Arabidopsis thaliana: one gene and its partners. The protein of the gene in region 4 interacts with the protein of the main gene of each other region in a biochemical or structural test. Each region holds a gene or a part of one and is shown on either strand. Other genes may lie near its edges. The genes, in order: PTAC12, JAR1, PIL6 and PHYA.

The links.
Region 1: the proteins of PHYA (region 4) and PTAC12 form a complex in vitro, tested with the Arabidopsis thaliana proteins (one study listed by BioGRID).
Region 2: the proteins of PHYA (region 4) and JAR1 form a complex in vitro, tested with the Arabidopsis thaliana proteins (one study listed by BioGRID).
Region 3: of the proteins of PHYA (region 4) and PIL6, one has a biochemical effect on the other in vitro, tested with the Arabidopsis thaliana proteins (one study listed by BioGRID).

What each region holds. Positions count from the first base shown.
Region 1 is NC_003071.7:14,581,302-14,586,310, forward strand, and holds PTAC12 (plastid transcriptionally active 12), read right to left. Parts: upstream 3,497-5,009; 5' UTR 3,244-3,496; intron 3,066-3,243; 5' UTR 3,045-3,065; coding exon 2,961-3,044; intron 2,844-2,960; coding exon 2,163-2,843; intron 2,073-2,162; coding exon 1,960-2,072; intron 1,886-1,959; coding exon 1,626-1,885; intron 1,544-1,625; coding exon 1,422-1,543; intron 1,346-1,421; coding exon 1,277-1,345; intron 1,183-1,276; coding exon 1,129-1,182; intron 1,039-1,128; coding exon 943-1,038; intron 865-942; coding exon 760-864; 3' UTR 534-759; downstream 1-533. Other genes in the region: GPS1 (geranyl diphosphate synthase 1), read left to right, coding at 1-76, 152-331. UniProt on the Arabidopsis thaliana protein: Involved in plastid gene expression. Acidic transcriptional coactivator necessary for the transactivation of many PIFs target genes (class B genes), particularly during the regulation of hypocotyl growth.
Region 2 is NC_003071.7:19,031,756-19,036,949, reverse strand, and holds JAR1 (Auxin-responsive GH3 family protein), read right to left. Parts: upstream 3,210-5,194; 5' UTR 2,718-3,209; coding exon 2,686-2,717; intron 2,610-2,685; coding exon 2,310-2,609; intron 2,243-2,309; coding exon 2,141-2,242; intron 1,995-2,140; coding exon 1,207-1,994; intron 1,120-1,206; coding exon 581-1,119; 3' UTR 505-580; downstream 1-504. UniProt on the Arabidopsis thaliana protein: Catalyzes the synthesis of jasmonates-amino acid conjugates by adenylation; can use Ile and, in vitro at least, Val, Leu and Phe as conjugating amino acids on jasmonic acid (JA) and 9,10-dihydro-JA substrates, and to a lower extent, on 3-oxo-2-(2Z-pentenyl)-cyclopentane-1-butyric acid (OPC-4) and 12-hydroxy-JA (12-OH-JA).
Region 3 is NC_003074.8:21,827,395-21,832,745, forward strand, and holds PIL6 (phytochrome interacting factor 3-like 6), read right to left. Parts: upstream 3,444-5,351; 5' UTR 2,788-3,443; exon of another isoform or gene 2,509-2,787; 5' UTR 2,502-2,508; coding exon 2,431-2,501; intron 2,310-2,430; coding exon 1,583-2,309; intron 1,502-1,582; coding exon 1,436-1,501; intron 1,343-1,435; coding exon 992-1,342; intron 915-991; coding exon 795-914; 3' UTR 511-794; downstream 1-510. Other genes in the region: AT3G59070 (Cytochrome b561/ferric reductase transmembrane with DOMON related domain-containing protein), read right to left, coding at 4,970-5,164. UniProt on the Arabidopsis thaliana protein: Transcription factor acting negatively in the phytochrome B signaling pathway to promote the shade-avoidance response. Regulates PHYB abundance at the post-transcriptional level, possibly via the ubiquitin-proteasome pathway.
Region 4 is NC_003070.9:3,094,673-3,101,827, reverse strand, and holds PHYA (phytochrome A), read left to right. Parts: upstream 1-1,997; 5' UTR 1,998-2,400; coding exon 2,401-2,405; intron 2,406-2,604; coding exon 2,605-4,670; intron 4,671-4,868; coding exon 4,869-5,685; intron 5,686-5,755; coding exon 5,756-6,046; intron 6,047-6,128; coding exon 6,129-6,330; 3' UTR 6,331-6,625; downstream 6,626-7,155. UniProt on the Arabidopsis thaliana protein: Regulatory photoreceptor which exists in two forms that are reversibly interconvertible by light: the Pr form that absorbs maximally in the red region of the spectrum and the Pfr form that absorbs maximally in the far-red region.

The DNA of each region.
Region 1 (5,009 bases), on a different chromosome or scaffold from region 4:
CTTTGCCATGGAAGAGTTTCCTCAACTACGCGAAGTTGTTGATCAAGTTGAAAAAGATCCTAGGAATGTTGACATTGTAAGTTTGAAAGAAACAAATCTCCTAAAATCTATAATATGTTTTCATAGTCTCTAATACTATTATATCACACAGGCTTTAGAGTATCTTGGGAAGAGCAAGGGAATACAGAGGGCAAGAGAATTAGCCATGGAACATGCGAATCTAGCAGCAGCTGCAATCGGGTCTCTACCTGAAACAGACAATGAAGATGTCAAAAGATCGAGGCGGGCACTTATTGACTTGACCCATAGAGTCATCACCAGAAACAAGTGAGATTAAGTAATGTTTCTCTCTATACACCAAAACATTCCTCATTTCATTTGTAGGATTTTGTTGGTCCAATTCGTTTCACGAAACAATAATGTTTGACAAGCTGTGGCTTTGGTTTTAAACTACACATGACAAAAAAAGGAGACAGATACTAATTGTGAAATCATATTCCTTGCGAATTCGGTTTAGGTCTTGTTTTAACAGATTAAACCGTCTCAAGCTGAACTAAACAGGATGCAGTACAGTTAACAAATCACTTTCAAAACTCTATAAATTCAATCAAAAATATTTGAATTCCATATGATACAAATCACTTGCAAAACTCAAATCCACTCCTAAATGATATCATCCCTTCCAAGTATACAAGCAAAACCAGTGAAGAAAAAGTTGCCCTAAATAACGTCTTTACATAAGAAATACGAAAACCAGGTTTAAGGATCAGTCTCCTCTTCAAAGTCCATGAGAAAATCAGTTAAGTTCTCAGCATCATCCACGGCCTCGTCTAGAGACATCCGACCTTCCTTCTTTGGTTTAGGCTGTTTAAGAAACCAAGCTCATAACATCAACACACCACACAAGACATATAATGTGGCTCAAGTTGAATGTGACTTTACCTTGGCGGTGCGAAGCTCAGGGGTTTCCTTCAAGACACTCCAGTTCCTCGGCACTTTCTCGTCGTCTTTTTCTACATCTGCATCGTCTTCGTCGTCCTGTCAAAAAATGTCCGGAGATGTTTCAGAGCATGATACATCAAGAAACAATAAAGAAGAAGAGGATCTGATGTAATCGATGATACTCACATCGTTTTCACCAATATCAACAGCTTGTGCCATTGCATCATCCATGTCAGGTACCTGCATTCATACAATTTATCGAACATATCAAGCGAAACCCTGAAATCTCACAATCAGAGTTGTGTCAAAGGAAATGAAAGATTGGTCACTTTACCTCGAGCTGCTCGGTTTTCTCTTTTGTCAGTAGTGCTTCATGCATCTCTCTTGAGATGACTTTGCCATTCTGATCAAATCAGAAACAAAGAAAACAATCAGACCAAGAAAGAAAAAGAATAGAACTTTGAGCAAAGCAGACTAACCTCCTTTAGATAAGAGAGCATATTTGGTGTAGGCTCATGAAAATCAGGTCCTCTGAAATCCATAACCGCATTAGGATCTTGAATGTAGTTAATTGTCGGGTAAACTGGATCCCCGCCCCAAACTGCAAGAAACCGAGAATGTTAGTCGAACGATTGAATATCCATGATGAGTTAGTTCAAACTTCAACGGTCAAAGTTTCTTACTTTGCTTAATTTGATCCTCCCTCATCCGCATTGCCAATGGATCTCTCTTGATCCTAATATCAGTTCCCATCATTATCCGGTATTCTCTATCTGTTTGATGAGAGAACATCTCAATCAGTTGTGTGTTTTCATCTTCACCTGTCTCTTCAAAATGTTTTTGTACAGCTTCTCTTGACGTGTCTCTCTTCCATGCTTTAACCCATTCAGAATAAAAAGCCATTGGACCTTCTTTCGCTAATCTCTCTCGCTCAGCTTGCAGCCTGAGAGAAAGAAAACTCGAAAGAAAATCCTAATAAAACAGATTTTCACTTGAAAGTTCGTTAGATCAATATACCTCTCTTCCTTGAAAAGATGCCTTCTTGCTCTATAAAGAGAAGTTTCTGTGAGTGTTGGTTCTTCCCCATAGAGCTTCACTTGTCCTGTTTCTGCCATTGCCTTGAGGAAAACCTGCATCAACAACAAAAAAAAATACCATAATGGATCAAACATTGGGGAAACACACACATGTTTAAACCTGAAATCATTGTGATGACTAACCGTTTCAACATCAGGACGTCTTCTTTGCCATCTTGACCATTGTTCTTTCTCCGGTTTCCTCCAGTTCCACCACGATTCATCGCTCGTGAGTGTCTTTTCAATTTGTTTCTTTTTCGTAGGATCAATGAAAGGATGTGGCCTTCCAAGCTTTTTGTCTAATTCAAAACCAGTCTCCTCTTCTTCTCTCTCAAATTCATTCTTATAGGTAACAAACCCATCCGAGGAATCATTTTCCTCTTCTTCAGAGCTATCCTCAGAATCGGATACTTCGTCATTCGTTTCAACAGTCACATTCTCCTCAGTAGCTTTCCTATTCTTCTTTCTCCTACTTCCAGGATTCTTTCCATAGGAAGGAAAACTCGAAGACTCACCAGCTGGTTGAGGAGCTCTAGCAGCTCTAACCCGGCTCGAAGTTCCTTCAGGCCAATAATCCTCACCTGGAATACTAGCCCGAGCCCCGGACGCTGGCTCAAGCTTCCCAGAAGTTGAATCCATATAACTATGGTAAGGATGCCTCTCAACAGTCACATACTCAAATCCTTCTTCACTCTTCTTAGACCCTTCACTTACATCACCATCTCCATCCTCTTTCTTGCATTTGATACAATGTCGCAAAGACCGATCCCTAGAAGTAATCCCAGCATGCAATGTCTTGAGTGGAAACCCACATTTAACCCGTCTCTACATACATAAACAAACTTTTACCAGTTTGACATCTTGAAACAAGCTAAAATGTTCACTATCTCTAAATTAGATAAGTTTGGATCAGAACAAGAAACTTGATGTGTAAGAACCAACCTGCACAATACAATTACTGGACTTTCCACTGTCTGTGCATACTTGACCTCGGTAGAGCCAGGTGGTGGTTGATATTGACGCCATTTACACTCTTTCTACTTCTCACTGTATCATTTACAAAAACAACCGATTCAATTATGCTCAGAATCAGTTTCAAACTAGTACAAAACATAAAACCCAGATAAGAAGAACCTGATACAACAAATTGTCCATAACAAGGTACGATTTTTTTGGGCATTTTTACAAACGCTTCACACTCGAAGTTGAGGAGAAAAAGACTAACCTTTTTGTTTTACCAGGAGATTATGTAGGAAGAGGGTTTTCTATCATGGAGCTTGATTTTGAAGGGGGTTTTGGCTTCAAAAGGTTTTCACTTGTCAGTTTTTGGGTTTATCCATTTATCTCCTCCTGCGTTTATTAACATATTCTGGTGACGGCAAAATCTCTAGATTTCACGACGCGCCGGTATTAGAACGGGAATTTGTGAAGAGAAAGTATATGGGCTTGGTATATCTAACTAAGGCCCAGTATTAATGGATCTTTGAGAAATTGTGAGCTTGAAGTCTCTCTTGGGCTTTAACAAACACTTCCAAGAAGAACAAAACATCTTTTTCTTTTTTGGCAAAACATCTTCTAAACAGTTTATTATATTGATATACTTTCAAATAAAATCAATATGTGATTTGATCATTTAAAACATGCCTTAACACAAAAGATATATGGAAGAATGTTTATCGAAGTATGCATGTGAACACATCTTAGTTTTGTTAATAGATTTGCAATTTACAATTGCGATTATACAATTTTTAGATAGTTCTCTCCGTAATGGATTAATATAGTGGACTAGAGGAACATGTTACACAAAAAACATCAATCATTGTACCTTTAAGTGAATAAATACTTGTATATGATTTGTACTTCAGCGTGTGTACGTACTTGTCTAAGACACTATAGAAGGAAGAAGGTTTGGACCCAACGTGAATGGCAATTGGCTAATGTGCTAATATGGTCTGAACCAATATTAAATGGGTCTGACCAGACACATCATAGACATTACGGTATCTATCACAGGCCTATTTTAACCTAATATCCTACACTTTTTATACATTAATACTACTATTGCTTACTTCAAACTTGCTAAACGACGATAATATTTATTTCTAGGGACCAAACATATAATTGTTTTTTTGGTTTTCTGAAATTTGGCAGACGTAGACCACGTAAGACTATACCACAAAGGTCTGACTAGGCACAAGTTTCGCTGACCCGCACGCGCCTAACGTCACCTTTTGAACTATTCGTGCAACGAGCGAGACTATCCATGCGGCGTCGTTTTTTCCCAACTTCCTCTTCCTCTCGTATTGTCAAACGGTCAAACCTATACTCCTACATAAGAAAAAAAGAATCAGCAGCATATAATAGCAACATTTGAAACTTCATAAGCATATATAAAGCTAGAGATGCAAACTAAAGACAAACAATATAGCAGTTTCGAATTATATAATAGATACAATAAATAAAAAAATAAAAAAAGAATAACAACCTTTTATCAAAAATAATACTGTAATAATAATAATTTGGATACTATTACTATCTTTTCGAGTTTGCTATTTTACATAAAACAATATGTCAGGGAAAAGAATCTCAAAGCACTAAAAAAAACTGTAATTTGATGCTTTTGGTGACCGTTAATAAATGAGTGGCTAATTGGAAATCTCGTCAAACTTTTTCTGCGACATAATTCACTTCCACAAGTAATTGGAACAGAATCTCACAAGTGGCGACGTGTACTTACCTCCACATGGCACCTATCCGTTCGCTAAAAATATACTCCATGTATAGATGTGTGTAATATTACATGTGTATAAAAGCGACGACGAGGATAATCACCTCGATGAGTATTTGAGTAGATGTGGACTTGTCATGAACATTTTAGCAGAGAGACAATGCATGCATACAAACAGAGAACTAACAAATTTCTTTAGTTTTTTACCATTCGTAACTTAAAAAGTTTATTCTTTATTTACTTGTAATACACTTTTGTTAAAT
Region 2 (5,194 bases), on a different chromosome or scaffold from region 4:
ACTTTTTCGTAATTAGAACTCTCTAAATAAACATCGGTCGCACTAATAATGTCGTAGTCACGTATAGCTTCTCACACAAAATCACACCACTATCTATATTTAGAGAGTTTTTTTTTTGTTTTGGCAAAGTATTTAGAGAGTTTATGATCTCTAAATTTTTAATTGTTTATGATCTCTTCTTGTTTTTGAGAGAAGCACCAAAATTCAATTGTCGAACACGTACATTATTGTTTCGAATATCGTAATATAAAACAATATTTTCACAATATGGTTCAGGTCAGATCGAGATAGATTAGATTATCCGAATTTTATTCTCCATACAGACAATCAATTATTCGAATCTTGATTTTTTTGTTCCAAGTATAATAAAGGTAACGTCACATCAGAAATCTATTTATTTCCCAAACACTAATTGCACAAAAAGCAAAGTAAAACCACTGTGATACAAATTCTATAAAGATAAAAAAAGTTTATGCTCAATTAAATAACGTAAAGAAAACTATATTGACAAATAAAGACAACAACGACGGAAATAAACAACTAAAAACCACTTTCTTTGATTTCACACAATTTTAGTGAGTCAAAACGCTGTGCTGAAGTAGCTACTCACCACATTCTCACACAGAATTTGGAGAACCTTAGCATTACTTGGCTTCACACATCTTGGCATCTTAAACTGTCCAGCCGATGAACCAAGCCCGAGAAAATGTTCTTGAATCTTCCGGAAAGTTCCTTTTGCGACAACTCTCAGCTCCAAGGCTCCAATAGTCTTGCATTTCCGGGAACTAACGTAACCCGCATCGATGAATGCTCGGTCTAAACAGTTGCAGCAATCTTGAAGAACGTCTTCGTTTGTTTCTCCTGAAATCTCCCAGAAGATAGCGTAATGTCCTGGATCTGTCGAGACATCGATGTAGCTAGAGAAGTCTATGACCTCGATCTTTTCTTCTGAGAGTCTCTTTGCAGCCGATTCTACTGAAAGCTGAAGGTCTCTTTCGGTGTTCTTGTCGATGTTGATCGAGAGAATCAGGTTTCTCCTGCATATGAATTTTAGTTGGGGAGTGTTGTTGTAGAAACCAATGACCTTTACCACATCTCCAAGCCGGTATCGATACAACCCTGTGCAATGTGGATCAAATGAGAATTATAAGCATCCATTACGAGACCGATACTACGCTAATTCCAGCCTTAAAACAACGGTAATACCTGCGTAATTTGTGATGACAACTTCATACTCTTCTCCAATCTTGACTTGAGTTAAACCAACCGGTTTCTCCTCTCCTTCCCCTGTTTCAGATACAGGGAGAAACTCGAAATAACCGAGATTCGGAATCACAGCAAATGTAGCTTCCTCTGGAGATAACCTTGGGGTAACATTAGCAGCAATCCATCCTTCCGAGCTACCGTAGTCATGGCTCACAAGAGGTAGATCACCCGCGTAATGTCTCAGCTTTGGCACATACGGCTCCATGGAGCCAGTCATGATCCCGTAAACATACTTTGCGTTGGGGAAGAGCGCGGGAATCAATCCGTACCAGTTGCTCAAACTCATACATTTGGTGCGGATCGTCTCAGCTAGCTCAGGGTTAGGTGTGAGCAGCTTCGACATTGCAGTACGGACCGATGGGACAGTAATACGGTTGCTTAAGACACCATCTTTGATATCGGTAACAATCTCTTCCCAAACCTGTTCAAAGGTTCTAAAAGCGTGAACTAGACCGTGAGCAAAGACGGCAAAGACGTATTGAACTTGATCTCTGAAGAGAATTCCGGATAAGAGATGGCAATACAAGGCTTGATGGACATCAGGACTAAAGATAACTTCGTCGGGACTACAGGAAGGAGACGTTATAGATTTCATCCCAGCTTTGAAGTTAGGGTTGCGGTACACGTTTGTGGTTGCGGTTCCAACCGGGACACCTCCCGTTGATATGTACTGCTTGCTGCTGAAGATAAATTGCAAAGCTTTGCCATTGTCATCAATGGGAAAATCTCTGTACAAGAAGAAAAACATCACATGTTAAGGCATAGTCGGTGGTAAGTAACAACATCACTAGTTTCTCTGTTCATGTCAATGGATGGAACAGAGAAAAGTGTGAAATGTGTGTGGGGGAAACATAAACACAAATTTAAACTATACCTGTTTCTGAAGGCAAAAGCAGTGCGAAACAGTTGCAATGTGTTCTCCATTAATTCATCAGTGAAAGGAATAAACTTTGGACGGCCTTGACTAGTTCCAGAGCTGATGATCAAAAACACACACACTGAGAAACAGAATCATCAATGATAAAGCAAAAAGAGGAAGTTACCTTAAGGAAATGGCAGGAACAGGGTGACCAGTGAGAATAGGTGAAGTGTCACCATCAACCATTCTTTTGATGTAAGGCTCTAATTCAACATCAGTGACTAAAGGAACCATAGATTTGAAAGCTTCTTCAGGGTCAGTAGCGTTTCCATTGAGACCACAGTTTTGTAAGTAAATGGCGGATTGGTTCTTGAGAAGAATCTCTTTCAAAGTTTGTTTCTGGACTTGATGAGCGTTTCTAGTCATTTCATCGAATTCATCAATGACTCTGTTCATGTCGAAAGTTTCAACCTTCTCCAACATCCTGAAGTAGATAAAAAGAAAAGAGTGATCAGATTCTGACAGATTTGAAAACAGAGAATATAAGGGAAGGTATAAACTTAAAAGCTCTTTTATGTTTCAGAGCATCCATAAAGGGAAAGTTTTTAAAAATTCTTATCAGAGAGATCTTTTTGCAGATTTTTTTTTTTATAAAAAAAAGTTGTGAAAACGGTTTTCGAGAATCGAAAATTAAGGAAGGATGGATCAAGAAATCGAAGGGTTTTGAGAGGAACCCAATAGTTGTGGAGAGGTAACAATCAGACCCAAATCGGAATCTATGAGATTGAACAAGTAAAGATGAGAACTTTTTTGGAATCTATCTGAAGAAAAAGTCAACGAGGTCGGAACCGGAGTAATTGGAAGTGTGTTTTACCCGATCAGACGAAACGGATTACTGAGAGATATGAAAATGATCAGCTTTAGTATCTAGATTAAGGAGTGAGAAAGAGAGAGTACCTGCGCTAGTTGCTGCGAGCTCTGTAGAGGATAGAGAGAGAGAGAGAAAAAAGGAGTGAGAGAAAGTTGAGTGAATTTGGAAAGTCAAGAGAAAGAAGCTGTCTTATTTTATAGACACAAAAATTGGACGGAGCAGCAAAAATGTAGAAGGCGAAAGATTAGTGGAAGCCGTTACTTGTATCTCTCTATCTTCTCTTTTTCTTTCTCCGACGGGATCTCTGATTTTTTCTTTTATTTTCTTCTTTTTGTATTCTTAGTTTATTTTTTCATCTTCACATGAGTGTTTGGGTCCAATCTGTAAAAGAGTGTAATATCTTCTTGGAATTAGGACCATTCTTAGATAATGCCCATTTTTACTTGGTTCCTCTCTGCCAAAACTTTAGTTTATTTAAAAGGACCAATCCAAAACAATCGCATGTGGATTACTTTTTTTTTTAACCATGTTTTAGTGTTTTAAAATATTCATTATGATCGATGCATAAAACAATACCGTAAGTTTAGTTTACGAAAAGCCAACTTGTGTTAGGAATATTATTTCTTTAATTCTTGAGTAATTTGGGTTCATGATATTAGTAGTAGATATACATATAGACAACATCATTTTTTGTTAACTAAGAATTTTCATGCGGCTAGTCTTCTAGTTTATTCAGACGAGGATCATAACATGTTAACTTAGTCACCTCTCTGTCATCGTTGTCTATATCATTATATATGGTCATTGCGTTAATGATGTAATACTAGGAAATACATCAGAAATCAACTATTCATCTCTAACAAAAGACCTATATATAATTCTAAGACTACAATCACTTAAATTTAACAAAATACGTTGTTTTTATACCACCTGTTATGATTTAATTTATAATGACCTGCGTTTGATTAATTCAAACTTGCTAAAGAAATAATATTTGATAGCTTCTTATATTTGGCTGTGTAGTTTGTAACAAAATTTGGAACAAACATATTTGTATATATCAAATATATATACAAATATGAGATATCACAATATATGGTTAACAATTCTTCATATCAGTTGCTTGCACATCTTTACATTAGTCATTTAAACGATTCTCAAAGTCTGTGAGGTTCATAAGATTTTTGGAATTAGGTTCATAAGATTTTTGGTTAACAATTCTGTTTCATCCATCTTCTCGTGCACAAAACAAATTAAGTTCAACAATCCCTTTTCTATTGCAGGGTTTAGGGTTTCGTTTCGGAAACGCATATTAGTCATCACAACTAACTTTTTTGTTTACAAGAATAAACTCTCATTTTAATGAAGCTGATCAACATAAGTTAAGTTACAAAAACATACGATTAATCTAATGATCTGATTGTATAAAAAAACAAAACATAGTTGATTTCCTTGAAGAAGAAAAAAAAACTATGTAAGAAACATTTGATTTTTATTGATGATTCTTGTTTTTCATTATATAGTTTCTTCAATTCATACATTTTCATTCGTCAATTTCATGCCTACTTTATATCGAGAAAATCATGAACTGATTGAAATCTGTGGAAAAGCTCCTTTTAGAGAAGTTAACATTTTCAATTTTTTTTGTTGACTGAAGAAGCTATAAATTGTATACATGCATGACAAGTCAACATAAATCACATATTCCTCCATGCTCATCATAAATGTTTTGAGCTTAAGAAACAATGGTACCATGACACATGCATACACAATTTTATTATTGACTGCTGATATTATTATTTTTGGCCTAATTAATTATTTTGATGTCATCCATTTTGGTTATCGTTTATACTAGCTAGTTGTAAAATAACTAAGAAAAACGATTGTGTGTGGAAATTAATTTAATATTCTAACTTTAATTTCGGACTAAAAAAAACTTAAATTTAACTAATTTGACACGTGGATGAGTCTAATTGGATTAGTATAAAAGATCCTCTGGATCCGCATGTACTGTGACCCAAGTGAGTTTCGTGCTTACACGTGGCAGTGCCGTCCAATTCAATTACGTCTCGGCTCTAAATAATTTGTCGGTCACATCCTTTACGTTTTCCTTATTTTCGCCCCCAAATGTTTCATTAAATTACGAAAGTTGCCTGATTTTTTTGAGTGGGTTCCACTACACCCGCCACATTTTTTGT
Region 3 (5,351 bases), on a different chromosome or scaffold from region 4:
TTATCTGTTTCTTCCACAGAGATCAACGAAGATCAGATTCGAATGCGTAATTTGAAGCAAAACAATGAGAAACAAAATCAAAGAGCGATAGAAAGAGAGAGGCTCAGGAGTCGGGTCGCAGCTTTTTCTATTAATAATCGTGTTTGTTTTCAGAGTGCTGATTTGTAAGATGCTTATTGGTTGACTTAATTAATCACATTCTATACGTTTTTATTATTTTAGTAATTTTTTTCTGCTTCGCTTTAATCGGAAACCTACACGCTCGAGTATGTGATTAGGATAAACTCGCTCCTCTTGTAAGACACGTGTCACTTTAGAAGGACATAATCGGTAATTTGATTTCACCGTTAACTTGAGGAAACTAAAAATCGAGTAGGTATGGGACTCGCTAGTCGTTACGTACGAATCGTGGTGGAGTAAACCACGTTAGCGTTTTCCGTTTTTTGTATAACGTATGCGTTTTGAGCAGTAATATGGGTTAATGTTCATATTCATAGACCCAAAAAAGCCCATGATAATGTCAAATGCAGGCCTAGTCTATCCTTTTTATTTTGTTTTTCTGATGAACCTTGAGAACAAATATAAAAGTATTGACACATGTATGATCTTTAGGTTCCCAACACTTGATTGATACTATAATTCAACTGTTTAAAAATAAGTTATAAGTATGAGACTAACTTATTAGATCTCTATAATACATTTGACTTAGCTTTTATGCTTGCTTAGGCGACCAAAAATAAATAACAATCACCAACTGTAAGAAGAATAATTTCGGAGGAAAACTATATGCCAAGTCAGCCTATTTTACCCATATGAAGACTGTCGGTGGTCGCCGGTGCCGACAGTTGACTTTGCGGTCCCGCCGGAGATCCAAATCCCAACATGTCCGCTGGTTGTTGTTGCACGGTCTGCATCTAATTTAAAACATGACACGTCAGATATTAAATAAATATATTTGTCTTTCTTCAAAACGATGCCGTCTGCAACTGACCTGATTTCCCGCCGGCGGCATCTGGGGAATCCCGCCCATGTACCTAGCGAGCTGCTCCGATAAGATTTGGTTCTGTGCTTGGAGCTGCAACTGTACCGGGTTTTGACATACTAAACCGGGATGGTTCTGCGGAGCGGACCGGTTCATAACCGGGAATTGAGACAATTGCATCTGACTTTGCATAGCCATCTGATTAATGTATGGAGATGATTGTACCCCGGGAAACATCATCGGACTTGCTGCTGCTGCTGCCGCCGCCGCCATTCCACTTCCCATCCACATCACTTGGAGTTGCATTTGAAGTGATTTTAAGTAATCAATTGCTTCATCCAATATCGAAGCTTTATCTGTCTACACAAAAAAAGAAGAAGACAAAACCATATTTAAACACACCAATCAATTACAGCTTAATTAACTCAGTTTTTTTGTGATGAAAAAACTTACTCTGCTGCAGTGAGGTATGAGTTCTTGAAGAGCTTTCATTCTTTCATTGATCCGATCTCTCCTCCTCTGTAATTAATAGACAAAGATCACATCAGAATTATTATTACTGAATGGTTGATCAACTAGTCAGAAATAGTATATGTATACCCTTTCTGAGAGATTATGAACTTCAGCTGCACGGCTTCTTCGAGTAGATCCTGACCGTTGGCTCGATTTGTTACCCATGGTTTGATCATCGGTTGAGGTCAAACCTATATCTGATTGAGACACAGATTCTTGATCAGCATCCATAACATGTTTTCTTTTACGGTCAATGGTTACACTTGTTCCACTAACGGTTTCTTTGTTGTTCCTTCCATAGCTGCAACCGGAGGAGCCACCTGACGAAGTGTCAAGTCTTTCTTCGACGTTCTTGCTTCTATCACTCATAGAAACCGGAAGTGTAGTGGCCTGATGAATATTTGTTGACTGGTTGCTGCCGCAATGACTCGGTCCGACTGTTATAACCGAGGATCTAAACTTAGGAGGAGCCATGGCTTGAGCCTCATGCTTAACTGTCTCTTCGATCGTTCGTGGCTTCTCAGGACCTCCGAGGTGATCGATCGAAGAGAAGAAATGAGAGGAGAACTCGGATTCGAAAGGGTCGATGACGTCATCCGGAGGGTATTGTATCCAGGAGACGGTTTCTTGATCATCTAGAGCAGCGTAGTTAGGCTTTTGTACTGTTTCTTGGTTGTCAAGAAAAATATTGTTGGGTTTTCTTAGGGTTTCTTGTTTGTGGGTTTGGACTTGGACTGACGGTTCTCTACGAGCTTGGCTTTGTAAAACCACTTGACCATCTCTCCACAATAGCTCCACTAATTCATCTTCTGGTCTGTCCCAACATATGAATGTTTACAAACATATTTTAAACAAACAATACTTAAATAGCTATGATTAAGATGTGAAATTGGTATATAATTATGAAATACTTGAATTGGAAAATTGATATATACCTGATTGATCTTTTATTAGTGGACATGTGAAAATTATCTTCAAAATTCCAATCAGCAAACACTTGTTCCATGTCAGATCTGTAAAGACACTTAAATAAAGAATATATTACTTTTTTGTAAGTGAATAAGAAATGATTTGATTCATAATTAGTATAATGATTAACAGGAGATTTGAGGAAAAAGGATGATGAAAGCAATCAACTTAGAAAAGATTATTCGAAATCCCAACAGTTTAATGATTAGAAAATAATTAAACCAAACAACCCTCTCCAACAATCTAGGAGGAAATGATTTAATAAAGCAACTAATTCTATATATAGTAAACTCTTACTAAGGGGAAGCTATAAAAGTAATTACCAGATTTAGAAGCCTCTGAATGGATGGAAGATTTAGCTATATCAGTTTTTTTTTATTGCTTCACACGTAACAAAAATCGAGCAAGGAGGGACAAAAGAAGAACAAAAGATTCTATCTCCAAAACCTTCTCGGTTTTATCTCTCTTCTAGATAGGGAATTGTTCTGAAACTGAGGGAGTAAAGTTGAAACAGAACAGTAACACAGAGAGAGAGAGAGAGAAAGAAGAAAGAGAGGCTAAGGTTCTTCTTGCCAGGTTCAGACAGAAAGGGACAAGAGCTAGAGGAGGGAAGCAGAGAGATTATTACGGTAAGTAAGCGAGTGAGCGAGGGGGAGATAATGATTCGGTGGGGGCAATAGTACTGAAACTGATCAGGATGACCGACACGTGGCGAATTGTCAGACAACTAGTTAAAGAGTTAGTGAGACCCACCAACTCGGTTGGATTTTGTCTGTGAAGTTGAGAGAGATCTATTGCTCGATTTCTAGAGGTGGGTTTCTGATCTGTACCTTATCTGCAACACTCTTTGAGTCTTGACCAATGATTAAGGGTGTTTTTGTCAAATCATAACACCCCTCTTATGCTTCTCTTTCAGCGAATAGTATCTCTAATAATGGTAAACAAAAAACAAATTGAAGTTCTCTATTTTCTACGATGCTTCGATGAGTTTATATCATCATCTACTATATGAATATATGAACCGTTTTATAATCATCTGAATTCAATTTCATGTCAGAGTCTCATTAAAACCCGAGCGGAAATAATCTTGAGAAGTCATCATTTTTTCCCCCGGCAAATTTCCACATCGCATTTATTTCACGTGTTGACTAGTTAAAGCTACCATCGTAAGTTTTTGTGTTATTATCATTCTCTAAACAACTGCAAGTTTATACATATAACTTTTAGTTGATTGTGAATTTGGAATTTATTAATTATACACAAAATTTTGGATATTAATAACAGTTTTGAACCTAAATATGCAATCACAAATTCACAATGTCGTAATAAACCGTGGACCGTTGTGACTTGTTTGTCATGGACCACAGACAAACAATGGTCCACCAAAATTATGATCACATTAATTTCCGATCCTTATCACAATAATTTAACAGTAGATCAGTTTCTAACCCTTATCACATCAATCTTATCGTTTAATGTGCATAACCCCTACCGATCTAATGATAAACAAACATATTATTAGTATGATAAATTCATGAATATATTACATTGCAACTTACAAGTAGACAGACAGACATATATAGTGGGTGCATTTGTGAAGAAAGCATCCACCGAAAGGAGACATTTCCCTTTAAAAGTCTTTGGCCCTCATTTGCTTTTTCCACGAAAGAGACGAGGTCGTAATAGCGTCCATTCAAGGCTATAGAAGGCCATGAGCCAAGTAACTCAGTTTTTGTTTCCAGCCATAGAAATAGTAATTTAGTGCAAAATATGGAATTTAAATATGAGTAGTTTAGTGAAAATTGCTGAATAATAACACTTTTTCTTCCGTATGCAAGTTTTTTTTTTTTTTGATAAATTATTTTGTATGCAAGTTGCTATTTGCTAGTTGGATGAATTAAGTTGATAGATAGATTCGTTCGTCGTGGACGATACATGTAAAACGTTGTTATCCCAATCAAGCAAAGAGGAACACGGTTACACAGATGCCAGCCATAAATCATAAAACCCCAAAACCCTTCGATTGCTATTTTATTTTTCTTATAATTTTTGTTTGCATTTGACTCAAATGATGTCGTTGTATTTGAATTTATAACTCATGTCGACATATAAGTCGTCGCCTAGTTGGATAATTAATTCCATCATCTTCTAAACCGATATATGAATTAATTCTATGCATATACATTAGATTTCGACGAAGGAACGAATCTATCAATCATCATTGATTAAGGAACCATATACATACATTAAATATTTATGAATATGCATATTCATAGGATGAAGATAACATCACATTAAATAGAATGACATTAGCAAATTGAATTTATCAGAAAAGGCCCAAAAGTTTTAAGTCATGTCATATAACAGATATTGTACTGTGTTGTGGAGATGCGTTATTGGGCCTAAGATACGGCCCAGTTTAGTCCGAAAAATACAAATTTATCAGAGAAAAGGGCCGAACAAAACGTCAAAACCCTAACTCTATAAGAGACCGTTCTGAAACATTCAGGCGGCGGTGGCGGCGATGGAAGTAGACGGATGGTGGTAGGAATGAAAGGCTAGAAGCGGCGGAGAAGTATGTGGATAAGAAATAACAAAAACTGAGGGGATCATGAAGTTCTTCGTTATATTATAGTTTTCAATCTGAATTTCAATTCCGCCGCTCGCCTTTTTCCTCTCCGCCTTTTCCGTCTCTCCGATCTGCTCCCGCCGCCGACCTTGTGATGATTATAGCTCTGAAGGTCCATACAAGGATATTCAAATCTCACTTCTTGTAGAATAGAAATTTCGAAAGTTATTATTGAATAGAAGAACTTTTATTAGTCAAGATTGCAAAATATTTTTATATTCTTTGTGCACTCCTGAAATACACATTCACGAATTTATA
Region 4 (7,155 bases):
GTCCTCCGGTGGTTCATCAAACTGAAGAAGAAGATGATCAGTCCTTGCAAAAGAGTGACAAAGATTGTTTTCCGTCATCTTCTTCTACTTCTTATACATAAGTAACCATTGACATTGTTTATTACAGTGACGATAACAGATTTTAAATGTTCTTTTTAATACGGAAGTTTTGGTGTAAAGAACCATTTTCTTTATTTTCGTATATAGATTATTGGCCTTGTTTCACACAAATACACACATTAAAAACCGAGAAAACACATGGTAATGAACAGTTGTTTTGAGAGTTCAATATCAAAAGAGTGAAAATGAAATAGCTCTCAAAGGGCGCCTTAAAGTTCCAAACCATCACATCCCTAGTGATTGAAGCGTTCTTGGCCGGCCATTAAGAAGTCTCCTAAGCTCATATTTGTTTTGTTCTTCAAAGTGTTATTCCTGAAATGGGATTAGTACCTTTTGCCAATTCAGATATGTGCAACATGGGCCATGACTATGTCTAATGGATGATACTGTGTTGCTAGGACAACATTTGCATTATGGAGGCACATTTTTGGTCCAACATAGCTGTGCCACAATATCTATGCTGAATTGCGCTGTCTAGATAAGACGTTGTCGATTCGATCTTCTCCGGAGATTTACTGCAAAAAACTTAGGGGGAGATTTAACTTTAAGAGGATAGAAGCAAAATACCTAAGAAAACATGGTAACGTGGATTTGCGATAAGAACGAATCGAAGTTTGACAATGATGTTAAAACGATATGGATTTTGTTTGACGAAAAAAAAATAAAACCTTAATAACGATTTTTTTACCCTTTTTATATAAAAAATAAAACAAATTTAAATTCTTCGAATAAACTTAAATTAGTTTTACAAATTTTATTACTTTCTTTCAACGATAAAAAAAAATACAAAAAAGGAAAGTCCCAACTTTGAAGTAAATCCCAGAAACAGATTACAAAACGCAAAAAGCCGAGAAAACGTGAAGCCCATAAGACTATCGTTGTCGTCTTCCTCAAAACCCAACTTTCTACTTCTGGTTACTGCCTTCATTAAACAACTACCACCATCTTTCTTTCTCTCTCTCTTTCTCGTTTTTTTATTTTATTAATAATCTTTTTTTTTTTTTTTACTTTTGATCTCTTATCCTTTGGACGATTCTCTTCAATCGGATTTATAAGAATCAACCCCATTTTGTTCTTCTTCCACTTTACTTCTTTTTTCCTCATTACACAGTCTTAGTCACATCGGTGAAAATATCAATTAATATTCCCCAGAAAGTTGCCAAGATTTACAAGTAGTAGTACTTGATATATCTTAAGCCCACTGTTCTGTTTTAGCGAGGAAAATGTTACCGGCGAAGCCGACCCTGTTCTTGATATGTGTGTGAAGTTTGTCTTTTATCCAAATTAAGCTTTTTTCTTCTTTTATTTTATTCCATTATAAAATATACAAATCGCCCATACTCCGAGACATGGGCATACGTATTCGGGGTGGTCCCATTCATCGTCGTCGTCTGTGTTAGGGAGCACAAATAATAGAGAGGCGTAGCACAAGAGAGAAGGTGGTGATCGAGGCCAAGATTTAGAATTTAACTATAACAAAAAGCCTCTGACGAGTGTGACTAGTCACAAGATCTGATCATGGCTTCTTGAAACTTCTTCTTCTTCTTTCTTCTCTTTAAAGGTACCTACTTTCCTTTTCCCAAAGTTTCCTCCTTTTTTTTCTTTTTTTAACTATATATATTGAAGCTTGCTTCGATTGATTTCTGCTGGGAGCTTACCAGCTAGCTACTGGTCTCACTCTTCTTACTGAAATTGATTCTAACTTTGAAGTTAATTTCTTAAAGCTATCCTCTGTTGTCATCAATACCCTCTTGTTTTCTGCGATATAAAGGTTTTGTAGGTCTCTTTCGATCTGGCTTGATGTGTGTTTGTTTTACTCAACTTTTTATAGTGTGTGATCATTTATGAGAAGAAGCATCCAATTAATTAATCTCATCCTTTTATCGCTTTTAACTCCTACGATTGCTTTCCCTGTGGGGACTTTATTGTTCCTTTTGAAAGGTATAGCTAGCTATAAAGACTCTTAAGAGTTTATTATTGAGTCTACTTTATGTATGTAGCTGTGTTTGAATCTTGAGAGGCTGATATTAGCTCAGATCCTCGTTTTGTTAGTATTTGTGTAGTGGATTTACCCTGTTAACTATCAACTATTATTTGTGCGACTTGTTCATAGTCAAGATGTTGTTGATTTTGGATTGTAGGATGACTTAGAAAGGAAGTGTTCATGGAATCTGACTGGTTCAGTTACTTTGAAAATGATAAATCATTGAACCTTGGAATATGACACGATGATTCCTGCATCTGTTGCGTCCTGTTTCTGGGTTTAGCTATGTATTCTCGATGGAGTTAGTCAAGTTCATAACTCTTTTTACTGTGTGTTTGAAATTCTGAATTGGTTCTTAGTGTTTCAAGTTTATGCTTATGCATTCGCTTGTATGACTGGTGATGAATGTTTTTGTGTTCATATGATTATGGCATGAATGTTTTATTCCCTCTTTTATCAGAGTTTTGCACTTATTTTTTGTTGTCTTGTCTCTGTGTCAGGAAAAAAATGTCAGGCTCTAGGCCGACTCAGTCCTCTGAGGGCTCAAGGCGATCAAGGCACAGCGCTAGGATCATTGCGCAGACCACTGTAGATGCGAAACTCCATGCTGATTTTGAGGAGTCAGGCAGCTCCTTTGATTACTCAACCTCAGTGCGTGTCACTGGCCCGGTTGTGGAGAATCAGCCACCAAGGTCTGACAAAGTTACCACGACTTATCTTCATCATATACAGAAGGGAAAGCTGATTCAGCCCTTCGGTTGTTTACTTGCCTTGGATGAGAAGACCTTCAAAGTTATTGCATACAGCGAGAATGCATCTGAGCTGTTGACAATGGCCAGTCATGCAGTTCCTAGTGTTGGCGAACACCCTGTTCTAGGCATTGGGACAGATATAAGGAGTCTTTTCACTGCTCCTAGTGCGTCTGCATTGCAGAAAGCCCTTGGATTTGGAGATGTCTCTCTTTTGAATCCCATTCTTGTGCACTGCAGGACTTCTGCAAAGCCCTTTTATGCGATTATCCACAGGGTTACAGGGAGCATCATCATCGACTTTGAACCCGTGAAGCCTTATGAAGTCCCCATGACAGCTGCTGGTGCCTTACAATCATACAAGCTCGCTGCCAAAGCAATCACTAGGCTGCAATCTTTACCCAGCGGGAGTATGGAAAGGCTTTGTGATACAATGGTTCAAGAGGTTTTTGAACTCACGGGGTATGACAGGGTGATGGCTTATAAGTTTCATGAAGATGATCACGGTGAGGTTGTCTCCGAGGTTACAAAACCTGGGCTGGAGCCTTATCTTGGGCTGCATTATCCTGCCACCGACATCCCTCAAGCAGCCCGTTTTCTGTTTATGAAGAACAAGGTCCGGATGATAGTTGATTGCAATGCAAAACATGCTAGGGTGCTTCAAGATGAAAAGCTTTCCTTTGACCTTACCTTGTGTGGCTCCACCCTTAGAGCACCGCACAGCTGCCATTTGCAGTACATGGCCAACATGGATTCAATTGCATCTCTGGTTATGGCGGTTGTAGTTAACGAGGAAGATGGAGAAGGGGATGCTCCTGATGCTACTACACAGCCTCAAAAGAGAAAGAGACTATGGGGTTTAGTGGTTTGTCACAATACGACTCCGAGGTTTGTTCCATTTCCTCTCAGGTATGCCTGTGAGTTTCTAGCTCAAGTGTTTGCCATACACGTCAATAAGGAGGTGGAACTCGATAACCAGATGGTGGAGAAGAACATTTTGCGCACGCAGACACTCTTGTGCGATATGCTGATGCGTGATGCTCCACTGGGTATTGTGTCGCAAAGCCCCAACATAATGGACCTTGTGAAATGTGATGGAGCAGCTCTCTTGTATAAAGACAAGATATGGAAACTGGGAACAACTCCAAGTGAGTTCCACCTGCAGGAGATAGCTTCATGGTTGTGTGAATACCACATGGATTCAACGGGTTTGAGCACTGATAGTTTGCATGACGCCGGGTTTCCTAGGGCTCTATCTCTCGGGGATTCGGTATGTGGGATGGCAGCTGTGAGGATATCATCGAAAGACATGATTTTCTGGTTCCGTTCTCATACCGCTGGTGAAGTGAGATGGGGAGGTGCGAAGCATGATCCAGATGATAGGGATGATGCAAGGAGAATGCACCCAAGGTCATCGTTCAAGGCTTTCCTTGAAGTGGTCAAGACAAGGAGTTTACCTTGGAAGGACTATGAGATGGATGCCATACACTCCTTGCAACTTATTTTGAGGAATGCTTTCAAGGATAGTGAAACTACTGATGTGAATACAAAGGTCATTTACTCGAAGCTAAATGATCTCAAAATTGATGGTATACAAGAACTAGAAGCTGTGACCAGTGAGATGGTTCGTTTAATTGAGACTGCTACGGTGCCAATATTGGCGGTTGATTCTGATGGACTGGTTAATGGTTGGAACACGAAAATTGCTGAGCTGACTGGTCTTTCGGTTGATGAAGCAATCGGGAAGCATTTCCTCACACTTGTTGAAGATTCTTCAGTGGAAATCGTTAAAAGGATGCTAGAGAACGCATTAGAAGGTAAACTCTCTTCCTAAGTTATGCTGAGTTTGCTAAGAATCTTCCAACTAGATTTCACTATTCAAGTTCCAATTGAGTATCGTGGTCGAAGAAACTTGATGCAATGTGTTGTTTTTGGTTCTTAATGATGGAATTTTGTTTTCCAATTTTATCAAACACTGAAGCCGAGTCTATAACTTCACTTGCTTATCTATGCAGGAACTGAGGAGCAGAATGTCCAGTTTGAGATCAAGACACATCTGTCCAGGGCTGATGCTGGGCCAATAAGTTTAGTTGTAAATGCATGCGCAAGTAGAGATCTCCATGAAAACGTGGTTGGGGTGTGTTTTGTAGCCCATGATCTTACTGGCCAGAAGACTGTGATGGACAAGTTTACGCGGATTGAAGGTGATTACAAGGCAATCATCCAAAATCCAAACCCGCTGATCCCGCCAATATTTGGTACCGATGAGTTTGGATGGTGCACAGAGTGGAATCCAGCAATGTCAAAGTTAACCGGTTTGAAGCGAGAGGAAGTGATTGACAAAATGCTCTTAGGAGAAGTATTTGGGACGCAGAAGTCATGTTGTCGTCTAAAGAATCAAGAAGCCTTTGTAAACCTTGGGATTGTGCTGAACAATGCTGTGACCAGTCAAGATCCAGAGAAAGTATCGTTTGCTTTCTTTACAAGAGGTGGCAAGTATGTGGAGTGTCTGTTGTGTGTGAGTAAGAAACTGGACAGGGAAGGTGTAGTGACAGGTGTCTTCTGTTTCCTGCAACTTGCCAGCCATGAGCTGCAGCAAGCGCTCCATGTTCAACGTTTAGCTGAGCGAACCGCAGTGAAGAGACTAAAGGCTCTAGCATACATAAAAAGACAGATCAGGAATCCGCTATCTGGGATCATGTTTACAAGGAAAATGATAGAGGGTACTGAATTAGGACCAGAGCAAAGACGGATTTTGCAAACTAGCGCGTTATGTCAGAAGCAACTAAGCAAGATCCTCGATGATTCGGATCTTGAAAGCATCATTGAAGGGTATGCTAGAATGAAAGTCCATTTAAAATATGGTTTATCTGTGTTCTTATGTTGGAATTTGACTGTGCAGATGCTTGGATTTGGAAATGAAAGAATTCACCTTAAATGAAGTGTTGACTGCTTCCACAAGTCAAGTAATGATGAAGAGTAACGGAAAGAGTGTTCGGATAACAAATGAGACCGGAGAAGAAGTAATGTCTGACACTTTGTATGGAGACAGTATTAGGCTTCAACAAGTCTTGGCAGATTTCATGCTGATGGCTGTAAACTTTACACCATCCGGAGGTCAGCTAACTGTTTCAGCTTCCCTGAGGAAGGATCAGCTCGGGCGTTCTGTGCATCTTGCTAATCTAGAGATCAGGTAAAATAGATATATTCATAATCAGAATGCATAATATGATGTTAAAAACAGTGCATTGAGGATATTGGGATTATGAAAACAGGTTAACGCATACCGGAGCTGGGATACCTGAGTTTTTACTAAACCAAATGTTTGGGACTGAGGAAGATGTGTCAGAAGAAGGATTGAGCTTAATGGTTAGCCGGAAACTGGTGAAGCTGATGAATGGAGATGTTCAGTACTTGAGACAAGCTGGGAAATCAAGTTTCATTATCACTGCGGAACTCGCTGCAGCAAACAAGTAGTCCCCAAAAGAAAAGGGGTCTGGCTTGATATAAAATAGTCACTGGTTGTTCTTTGCTTGTAACTTTCCTTATCGCTTTTGTTTTCGTTTTCAAATTTCAGTAACGATGAAATATCCATCCATTTACATCTTCTGTTGAACTCTTTTCTGAAGCTGTAAATATGGATGCATATCTAATCTCCTCCTGAGTGTTTTGGTTTCATGATGTATCATTCAAAATAAGTAATATAGGAGAAATGAGCTAATGTTTACGGTCCATGGTTTATCATAATGGCAGAAACTCAAACAAATATTCTATCTAGTTTCATATAATCTCCTTCTTTTAAGGTATTAGAGGTAATGCATGATTCGTGACTATGTTGCAAGAAGTCTTGGTTTCAAACAATTAGCTTTGGCTCAACTCCATGAAGAAGCAAACATAGTTCTTCGAACTTAACAGAGATCTATTAGCTGGCCATATGAAGTACACTTAGTTTTCTGTTAGAAGAAGCACATGGTGTGTGAAGTAAAAAATAAGTTATCATGTTAATTAAGTAATCAGTTTTATTAGACCCATACGTTAAGAGTCTCTCAAGTTGATTATTTTATCTGAAAAGTCAGATAAATTAGCTTACCTGTTTTGAAAGCTTTTAGATTAGATCAACCTCGACTTCTTACCTGTCTTTAGTCAACTTTGAACAAAAAATAATATGGATTATACAAGAAGACGAATACATGAGACTATGGAGCTCAAATGCACACTGAAGATCATCAGTTATTGTTCCTTTTTTATTACAGAAGACAAATCAAAGAAGATAAAAAGATCTTCCCTTTAGAAAAAAACAGA